2 linked regions of the Oryzias latipes genome follow. The protein of the gene in region 2 interacts with the protein of the main gene of each other region in a pairwise test. Links are inferred from orthologs where the notes say so. Each region holds a gene or a part of one and is shown on either strand. Other genes may lie near its edges.

Evidence for each region. The genes of interacting proteins can lie anywhere in the genome.
Region 1: the proteins of nckipsd (region 2) and stac interact in binary tests that used the Homo sapiens proteins (3 or more experiments, as listed by UniProt). The link is inferred for Oryzias latipes from reciprocal best matches to the Homo sapiens genes NCKIPSD and STAC.

Annotation. Positions count from the first base shown.
Region 1 is NC_019880.2:9,979,427-9,983,547, reverse strand, and holds the start of stac (SH3 and cysteine-rich domain-containing protein), read right to left. Parts: upstream 2,801-4,121; 5' UTR 2,461-2,800; coding exon 2,347-2,460; intron 717-2,346; coding exon 684-716; intron 1-683. UniProt on the Homo sapiens protein: Promotes expression of the ion channel CACNA1H at the cell membrane, and thereby contributes to the regulation of channel activity.
Region 2 is NC_019863.2:1,724,708-1,730,647, reverse strand, and holds part of nckipsd (NCK-interacting protein with SH3 domain), read right to left. Parts: intron 5,717-5,940; coding exon 5,546-5,716; intron 5,342-5,545; coding exon 5,255-5,341; intron 5,156-5,254; coding exon 5,017-5,155; intron 3,649-5,016; coding exon 3,568-3,648; intron 1,536-3,567; coding exon 1,407-1,535; intron 1,290-1,406; coding exon 1,200-1,289; intron 1,118-1,199; coding exon 945-1,117; intron 874-944; coding exon 655-873; 3' UTR 1-654. UniProt on the Homo sapiens protein: Has an important role in stress fiber formation induced by active diaphanous protein homolog 1 (DRF1). Induces microspike formation, in vivo. In vitro, stimulates N-WASP-induced ARP2/3 complex activation in the absence of CDC42.

The DNA of each region.
Region 1 (4,121 bases), on a different chromosome or scaffold from region 2:
AGGCTTTTAATACTTTTAAACCAAATTTCTTGCATTACTTACTTTCTCTGATCTTTGATTGACCAAAGATTTTGATTGCTTTCACACTGCCACCAAGAGGCACCAGGATTCCCTTGCAACCAAACCAAGATTATTGTTTCCCGGCAGATCCGAGCTCATGTTTGTATCCACGGAAATGAACAGCAGCGTCCTGCAGGTGTCATGGTGAGTTCAGGAGTTCAGTCCCAAATAAACTCCCATGAGAACTTGACTGTGCCGACATTCAGCGTTTTTTGGAGCATTCGATGTATCTTTCAACAGGAAACCTTTTTACCTTGAACATTTTAAACAATTTCAACCAAACACATTTCTTTTATTTAAATCTAAAAAAGCTTACAAGAACCATGCTTTTTTGTTAGTTCATCTATGAGTTTATGGTAATCATGAAGGGTTAATGCAGATCGAGTGATCAAATCTGGCACAGCTGTTAATGAAATTATCCAGTCATTTACATAAATGTTTGTTCTTAATTATTCATGCAGCTCGAAACAGGAATTTCCCTCTGAATGAAGATGATGGAGCTCAATTTACATCAAATATTCATAAACGTTTGACCTAAGAGAAATATTTCTTCATCTGGAAGCACATGCAGGTCTGCTCTGGATGATGGACAAATTAATGTTTACTTCAGCGTGGGGGCTCACCTTGCGTTTTTGATGTTCGGGCCGCACAGTATTCTTAAAGGAGGAATGAAAATACAAAGAGCTTTACTACTACAGGTCACTTTATCATTCGTGAAATCTCATGACATGACACATTCAGTGTTTGTGAGGGTTTAAAAATCCTGGAGAGTCATTCTCTCATCGCAATTCAGAGGGCTGAGCAGCAAGTGCTCCACAAGACTGTCATTCCACTGGAAGGAGAACAGAAACCTCTTGTGTGTGGGAGTGGAGGTGACAAGAGAGCTTCTGCTGCCATCCCTTAAGGCCTGTTCACACCGGGACGAATTTCGCCGGCGATTTTCGCCGACGTTTAACGCCTCGTGACTAAACAAAGGGCACCAACGAGAGTGTGCACACCGACGCGAAAAAACGCGACGCGTTAAAGCGTCAAAAAAAAAAAAACGCCTCGGGTTCGTTTTTTTTTTTTGACGCGTCGCGTCGAAATCTACTCGACCAATGAGAATGGCGCTTTTGCTCACGTGTCTGGAGCTTCTGAAGTTACAGTAAAACACAACTTGGGGGCGCTCAAACACAAAACTGCCTTGCTGAGCACACATACCAGCGAAGAAGATAGACGCCAAGTAGCGTCTACACAGCCGCGAAGCAATAATGACGGACATTCTAAAATATCCCCGAACCAAGCACCAGTTGGACCTACTGGTGCTTGAAATATTCATGTTTTCGTTGTTTGATTCTGACAAGCGTGTAAATACTTGCTCTCTTCTTCTGAGTGAAAAGCGACTTTAAGAAGCGTAAAGTTGCGCAGCGCCACCTTGTGTACAGGAGTATTTCTGTTTTACATTAAGCGCCATCTAATGTCAGGGAATGAAATTGCATGTTCGCTCCACTCATCGTCAGCGAAAATCGCCTGGGTGTGAACACAAAAAACGTGGCGAAAAACGCTGGCGAATAACGCCTGGCGAATATTCGTCCCGGTGTGTACGGGCCTTTACCCTGATGACTCCTCCAATAATGTGCTGCTAATTAGAGTCTGAGCAACATGTGACCCACATGCTGAACTGCCTCCGGCTGCTGGAGATCTATATTGCATAGCCTGCATCAAGAGGGGACCATATTTGTGAATTTAGGCTACGAAAAGGTGCCTGAATTCCAGTGTTCATGGGTTTTTGTGGCTTTCTCTAAAATTTACAAATAAGAGAAAAACTTTAACAGAATTTGAGGCTTTGACAGCATCATTGCAAAGCAAATAAAACATAATTTAGGAAACTGTTCTTTTTTGCAACAATTCCGATTAAACAGCGTTTTTTAGAACTGTTAAAAATAAGTAACCCCTTTATTTTGGAAAGTAATACTCTTCCTTTAGCCAATGTATCTAACCTTCAAGTTTTAGTAGGTAATGCATGTATCATTATGTAGCAATCAAATTGTGAGCCTTTTTAGCCCTTTAAAGCAGTACTTCTTAAGATAATTTATCAAATAACAATAAAAAATATTAGTTTTGATATCGTTTTAATCATTTTCTAAAAAAAACAACAACTTTGTCATAACTATGAGTTTGACTTCTTTTAAACAGCTGAGACAATTTTTCAATCAATGTCACGTTGATTAAGTTGATATCCTATTCAGTTAAATGAGAGCTGAACTTTTTCTTTAGTTTATCAGAGAAACAGAGATCATGTCGTACCTTGGTTTCCTTCTGGCTGTTGCTCGTCGTTGGGGATTTTGGCGTCTCATCCTGGTCCCGGTCCTCCTCGTTGCCCCCGCTGTCGTCCTGAATCGTGTTTGCCGGCGGGATCATCCTCTCTTTTAATGATCTCTATTATTTGGAAGAAAAAAAAGGGGGAAATCGCGGCTGCTCTTCAGAGTTTGACTCCTGTTAGGACTGTTTCCATCGCTCTTGAAGTCACCCCGGAAAAAAAGAAAAACAGAAAAAAAAACAGAAGAAAGAAAAAGAAAAGTGTTATCCTCGATAAAAAAAAATGTAAACGTTTGGCAGGAGCTGGCCCATGGACTGCTTGTAGGAGTGACGTTTTATGGAGTTTGGTCAGGGTTCCTCTGAAATGCTCGCGTCTGTAGCGGCGCCGTGCGTAAATCTTCAAGACGTCTCCAAGTCCACGCTGTGCGCTGAGGCGCGCGCGTTGTAGTGCCAACAGTCTGAGGGGCGGAGAGCTTTAAGAGAGGCATCACCGGGAAGGAGGAGAGTTACCACGCAGTCAGAGCTGCCAAAGTTTAGCTCCAAGACGCACTAAAAATAAACAAGCCCGGCTTGATACAGACCTTCTAATCTGTCTAGGGGGAAAAACGGAGGGGAAAGAAACAATTTTGTAGAAAAATAATCAAATGAAACTTTAGATAATACATCAAATAACAGTTTTCACATTTATGGAGATTAAAACACTAAGATTCCTGCCTGTTAAAATAATCTCTTGCTCATTTTGCCATACCACCACCCCCTTATCCTAATTTCTAAGGCATGAGAGGACTGAGAAATACAGGAGCCATTCAGAGCATCTCTGCGAATGAGATGACTGAATTAGTGTACGTTAGAAGTTAAATTTAAAATAGACTTTTCTTAATTTTTCACAACAAATTCTTTATTATCAAACCTTTGTAAATACATTTTCTGTTCAGAGTAAACATGTCCAAACATTTCAGATAGGGATAGAAAATAGCTGAAACAATAATAAAAATTGAAAATGTTTTTTTAAAAACAATTGTACCATACATTAGAAATGATGCAAAATAACGATTGGTAAAATAAACCCTTATTGCATTTCTTAAGTGCTTTCCAGACCTCCCATAACCCTGTAAACCTATATGTACTTTGAATAAATAAAAAATGGATCATTTTGTCCCTCCCGATAGAGTGTAGGGGTAGAATTGGGATTTGCTGAATTTTCCAGCTCAAAACGTCATTAGTGTGAATTTTGTATTTATTTTCCCTCAAAAACTTGATATAGGTGTTACATTTTTAAGGAAATTGTTGTCCCACCAAAGCGTAATTACTATTTGTTATGTATGTGTTCACACTAATCAAAAACAATCTCTAGCAAATCCAAAACAGTTTTATTTTTCCAAAATGTGTGAAGAGGTGCAGGAATCTGTGTAATAACAAAACATCAAACACATGACTGTTGCCAAATAAGTTTTTTTGCTCCAACTTCAAGATATACTGTTCAGTCCAAGAAAAATGGCAAACAAACAAACCAGCCTGCTGTGAAAACATATAACGTGACAACACGTCATCTGCATAAATTTAAATATGGGGCTCATTCAATAAAACCTCTAAGACACCATATTATTTCCTCACTTGCATCAAAATTGAAGCAACTTCCCTCTCCACGTGGGAAAGGTGTGATATTCATTGTAGTGATGCATCACGCCTCCTCCCTGCCGTTTCTTTTGTGATGTCCTTGAAGTTAAATTGCAGGACAAAGGCGGCAGGCGCCAGACTGACAG
Region 2 (5,940 bases):
GCCTTAAGTTAGCAAAGAGTGAGCGCTTACAGCCGAACGTCAGAGAAGCAGCAGGCGGAGAAAGCTGCAGAAGCACAGCAGACTCAAACGCAGCAGCGATCAGCAGCTTCAGATTTGTTTGGCTCCTTGCCTCAGAACACGTAAACTTCGTCATGGTTTCTAACTAACCTGACTTTAAGATATGAATGAAAAAAGAGAAGACATTAAGAGTGCAGCATCCAGCTAAGAAAATAATACTCTCAGTAACACAGTAGTTTGGTCCCAATTCAAGGACTAACAAACAGGTTCTCAGTCAGCACTGAACTCATGGCACCTCCTCTCCTCACAGACCTGCTTCACCCAAACCTTCACACTTCCCCTGAAATCAGCCAGAAGGTGATGAACAATGAAATCCTACAGAACACATGCAGTTAGTCCATGGAAACTGGATATGGTTATTGCTGGGAATTCACTTTGACAGCACATCAGGTGTTTGGCTTAAACTCTTGTCGTTTCTCTACTCTTTTTTTGTGCAATTGCAATATTTTCTATTCTTGCAAGCTATTTCGAAACGTCTAATCCAGAGATGAAAGTGACGGCTTCCAGGGATGAACGCAGATCGCCCCCTGCTGTGAACGGAAGCAGACTGCAGTGCGTGAGCATGACGCTGATGTGTTAGGCCTCACAGATCTGAGGGAACTCCGTGAAGATCTGCTGTACGATTAGCTTATCCATCTGCCTTGCTGTGGCGCTCCCTTCCTCTTCTCCCTCCTCCTCCTCCTCGGTGAGGATCCTCTGCAGGGACGCCTGCAGGTCGCGGAGGCGGTGCTGGTGCTCCAAGTAGTCCGTCGAGCGAATGATGGCGTGCATGAGAGAGAGATACTCCATCCTCAGCTTCACAGAGAAATGAAAAGGACTTCAGGCTTTAGCAGATGCGCTGATGCTAACGTGCCGATGAGGCTAACCTTGTCTCCAGGTGACAGATCCGATATTTGTCGGACTGCGATGTCGATCATCACCATCATGTCAGTGCGGTAGAAGATGTTGGCGGTCTCTGGACTAGCAAAGACGTCCTGCAGAAACTTGAGGACGGCGTGCGGCGCTGGTGGAGTGTGTTTGAACATGCACACCGGGTCGTCTGCGGAGCGCAGAGCAAAGGTTCATGGGACAGAGAAAGAGGTGGAGCGTCTGAAAAACTGGAAAGAACCGTTTGGATTTACCGCCTCTGTTGAGGAGCAGCAAGACTTTCTCCGTCAGGACTCTGACATTTTTCTGGTACACCTCCTGCATCAGCACATTGCTGCTGGGGACTGAAAAAGGTGGCAGGCACACTTTTAGAAATTATTACTACAATGTATGTCGGTTAAAAAACAAGAAAGAAACCAAAGGAAAAATGTAAAAATGTGATCTGAGGAGTTTGTTCTGACCCGTGTGGTGCAGGTTAAAGGCCAGCAGGAGGTTCAGGAAGATGTCAGGTAACTGCTCAGTAGGATCAGAGGGAAGTCCGTCCTCCACGACGCCCAGAACAAACCGGATGAATTCTGCATTCAAGTGCTCTGGAAAAAAAAGAGGGGAGTCCAAGCAATTCTCTTGAAGCTTTTCTTTTTCTTTTAATTACAACTTCCAAACAGGTTAATAGATACACGTTTGGACATTAATTAAAGAAAAAACCACAGCGGTCACAGAAATAACTTAAAGGGCCTGCATGATGCTATTTCTAAGCCTTTTAGAGTTAACAATATCCATGTTTATGATAATACATTACCTTTGGCACACAACAGAACACATTTTTTACTGAGTTCTTTTCCTCTCCAGAAGTAACAGGACTCGAGCTCTGAGGCCCCGCCTTTCTCTCTGTGTGGGTGTTGCCCATTTTATGGCGTCAACCTATAGTCGGCCTCGGCGGCGTGTCTGCGTTTCTCCCACAAAATCAAACATCCAAACTTTTGTAAAGATGGATGTGCATACTGTGCACATAAAAGGTAAGAGTTTTTGCCGATTTTGCAGAGAAAGTGCACCACAAGCACCGCCTGGCAGTGCAGACTCTTCCTGGAAGGGGCGGGTCCTCACTTTGTGATGTCACAATGTGAGGACCCGCTTGTTTTCGTAGATTGGGAGAGGCTGGTGCTCAGAGAGCAGGTTCTAAGGGGAACGCTCAGAAAAGTGTGAATGGATCCAAATACCGCTTTGGGGTTGTTTTTCGTGAGGAATGAACATTAGAAAACACTTTAAAGTTCAAAACATTAGATTTTGTATAAACATAAACAATGGAGGTCTGAGAGTCATTGGGCCATTTCTTTTGAACTGTTCAACATATTCATTAGATGTAACAAAATAACAGGAAAAAAATGAAAGTACTTTGACCACAAGGACATTTTAAAGAAAGGTGTGTCCTCTAAGACAGCGGTCCCCGACCTTTATGAAGCCACTGACCGGTATGGCGTCACTCAAAGTTTTCACGGACCGGTCTTTCAAATGTGGCGGAAAACTATTGTAGCAACGATGAAGGAGAAACGGAGACGTAACGAGATAAACTCTGAGCTTTTATTTTGACACGCACAGGTGTCATCATCCTCTCCCCTTCCCACACTCATGGTGCAAACAAGAAGTAGTGTCTATTAAATGTAGATTTCTTTTTTTGGAAGTGGAAGGCTCCTCTTCTGTCTCCTGGCTTTCCCTTTGGCAAAGAAACTTTCCAAAGACGTTTGTTTTTACTCATTTTGCTAGCTCCTGGTTTTTATTTTAGCAGTAACCTATCATGTGACCGAGAGGAGACCCTGGGCCTGCGTCAAGAGTGACATAGACTGATGGAACAGAGAATCAGGCAATTTTTCAAAATAAAACATCTTTCAGATTCCAAAATAAATAAAACAGAAGTCATGTACAGTAAGTTATTTATTCTTTCTTTGCAGCCCGGTACCAAAGGACCCAAGGACCGGTACCGGTCTGCGGCCCGGGAATTGGGGGCCGCTGCTCTAAGAGCTTCACAGAAGTCTCAAGCAGGATAGTCACATCTGTCTGAGGAGCTGAAACACGCCAAACTCACACATTAATCCCTTGTGCTTTCTTGTGGGGTCCAGATGACCCCCCCCCCCCCCCCCCTTCCATTGACGTGTTCTCCCTACCATGACAAAGGTGGATAAAGGTGGAAAGATTTCCTGTAATCCATGGACACCAGTGAAGATCACAAATAATTGAAGAAAAAAGGTTCAGAGCACTGTCTAGTGGGTCTAGATGACCCCACTCCCAACATAAAAGAGCCTAGGAAAGCACGAGGGTAACTGAAATGACCTCTGAATGCTTTGACAACAGATCAGAAGAGAAACGGAGTGGGACTTTAATATTCATTTAAGGGAATCAGCGTTTATGTTAATTTTAATGATGATTCTTTTGAACAAAAGTCTGAAACAATTTCAGACATTTGCATTCTTTTTGGTTTTTTAAAAGATCGTTTACTGATATTTCCATAATAATAGACATTTCCCAGACTTTTGGTGTTTTTCAACTTCAACCAACAAATTCTTTTCCTCCATCAGCTCAGATGGTGTGATTTCACAGAGAAAGTTAGGGGATTGCTTTTTTCCGTACCGTAGTGACGATAGGGCACCTGCTCCCCCATGGAGAGGACCATCGTAAGGACCAAAGCAGAGTAGCACATCTTCTGGTGTTCTGGTGGAAAAAAACAGACATTTGCAATTGACTTTCAAAAACAAATACTGATACTTTTAAACTTATGATCAGTTCAAATTTAGACTGTGAAGGGAATTGCCTAAAACTGCAGATTGGTCACATCTTCAGGGTTAGGGGAGTCGCTCAGAAAACGTTCTTGAAAATTCCAGGAATCAAGGAATATATCATCTTGTGCTATCTTAGATGACCCCCCCCCTTCCATTGACGTGTCCCCCCTACCATGACAAAGGTGGATAAAGGTGGAAAGATTTCATGTAATCCATGGACACCAGTGAAGATCATTGAAGAAAAAAGGTTCAGAGCACTGAAAAGGCTTACAGAAACATTTAGGAGTTAAAGGTATTAAAGAGTCTGTGAATCAAAGTAGCTTCTGTTCATGTTCTCACGCCTGAACAATCCATCAGAACAGGACGGGTTATCTGTGCAGAGGCAGGATTTTCTTTAGTCATCCGGACTTCCTTTTGTGGTGAAGAGAAGTGTGGTGACTGAAACTGAATGGCTGTTAAGGATGGGAGGAATCCCAGAGACGCTCAAACCAAAAATGAATTCCCTACATTTAAACAGAGTGGGATTAGAGTCATCTGTGCCTCCAGTGGATGTTTCTGGAATTGACATCTCCAGCTACGTTTTTGTGTTTTTTGGCTCTAGAAAGACCAGGATGCAAACTAAAGACGCAGCAGGTACCCTTCCTCACCAAAACACTGTATGTCCATCTTCAACAACAGTTGTTGTGAGGCCAACTTCAAGTTAACACACTATAATGAAATTATTGTTAATTCAAGTAAAGGTGTTCTTTACAAAATATTTGTTACACTGAAAGAATCTGGACTATCAAACAAACATAGTCCAGATTAAATTGTAGTGTTTTTTTTTTATCAACAAGGAATCGATGAGCAGTAAAGGCTTATGGGAGTCTGACTATGTTAGGGTTTTACAGGCTTGGCTAGTGTTTTTTCTTTGCTTTAATAAATCAAATCCTGATCAAAAACTACATTTATGAGTCATAAAAAGTCAATTTGATCCTCTGCATAATTCGAGTTTGACAGATTCCACAGTTTCCTGTTAAAACTGCAAAATAAAAGCCAGACAAAGTGGGAAACAGACGTTGCTTAGAAACCGGAGAGGCACAAAGGGCTCTGAAATGATTTCAGATCACTGTTCTTTCATTATTATGTGTTAATTTTGTTCAGTTTCAGTTGTTTTCCAGATGATTAAACTTTTATTTGAACTAGGAAACTTCAATTTAAATTGCAGCATTTTGTCTTCCACCTGAATAGAATGCTTGGATTATTCTTTATCGAACTCTTCCTAAATGAATCCCGGTTTCCCCGTGGACGACGCTCTCACCCTGCGTGTCCGTCTGGAGGTCTCTGGCCAGCTCCATGGGCAGGATGGAGTTCAGGAGGGTGGAGATGAGAGCGGCATCCAGGCTGCACATGGCGCCGAACACTTTGAGCAGCAGCAGGCGCAGAGACACGCGGTGCTCCTGCACGCACAGCAGCGGCCATCTCAAACAACAACATCACGCTTCCTCTGCAGGACCACAGTGCATTGTGGGAGGTTCTTAGTAAATACTTTCTCTCACCATCTGGTAATAAGAAACCAGAGACAGCACGTTCTCACAGTGGTTGGCCTTGCACATCCTCTTACACACCTCTGGATCAGCGTCCGTCTGAGGAGGAAACGGCAGCAACTGCTCACAAACTCACTCTGCGGCCTCATCATCATCATCATCATCATCATCTGCTTTGCCTCCTGTCTGATATATTCAGCTTCTGATCTGATCTGTGGATCCATCTGATCTGATCCGTCCGGGTCACCAAACATCTGGAACTTTTTGCAAACACCTGCGTCAGAAGTGGGTCGTTGTTGTTACCAGAATCTTCAGCAGCTCCTCCAGGTAGCAGGCGATGAGGGCGTGGTCTTCGTGGAGCGCCCAGCTGCGCTGCTGGGAGTCGTCACGGCGACGGGCCAGGTCGTCAAAGATCACCTCCAGGCGCTGCTCGTCATGACACACCTGACCCCGAGGGAGCGCGCCACCCAGGTCCTGCAGAGGCAACACACACATACACATTGTTAGCGCACACGCACACCACATCGCACAACTACACACACCAGTGCACACAAACACACACCCACAAAAGATCATGGCCTACACCCCTGAATACACACACAAATGCACACACACACACAGATGAAAACAACACATTTACACCCACAAGTCCAGACACACATTCACACAAACACATTGTTAGCACACACTCAGGGGCA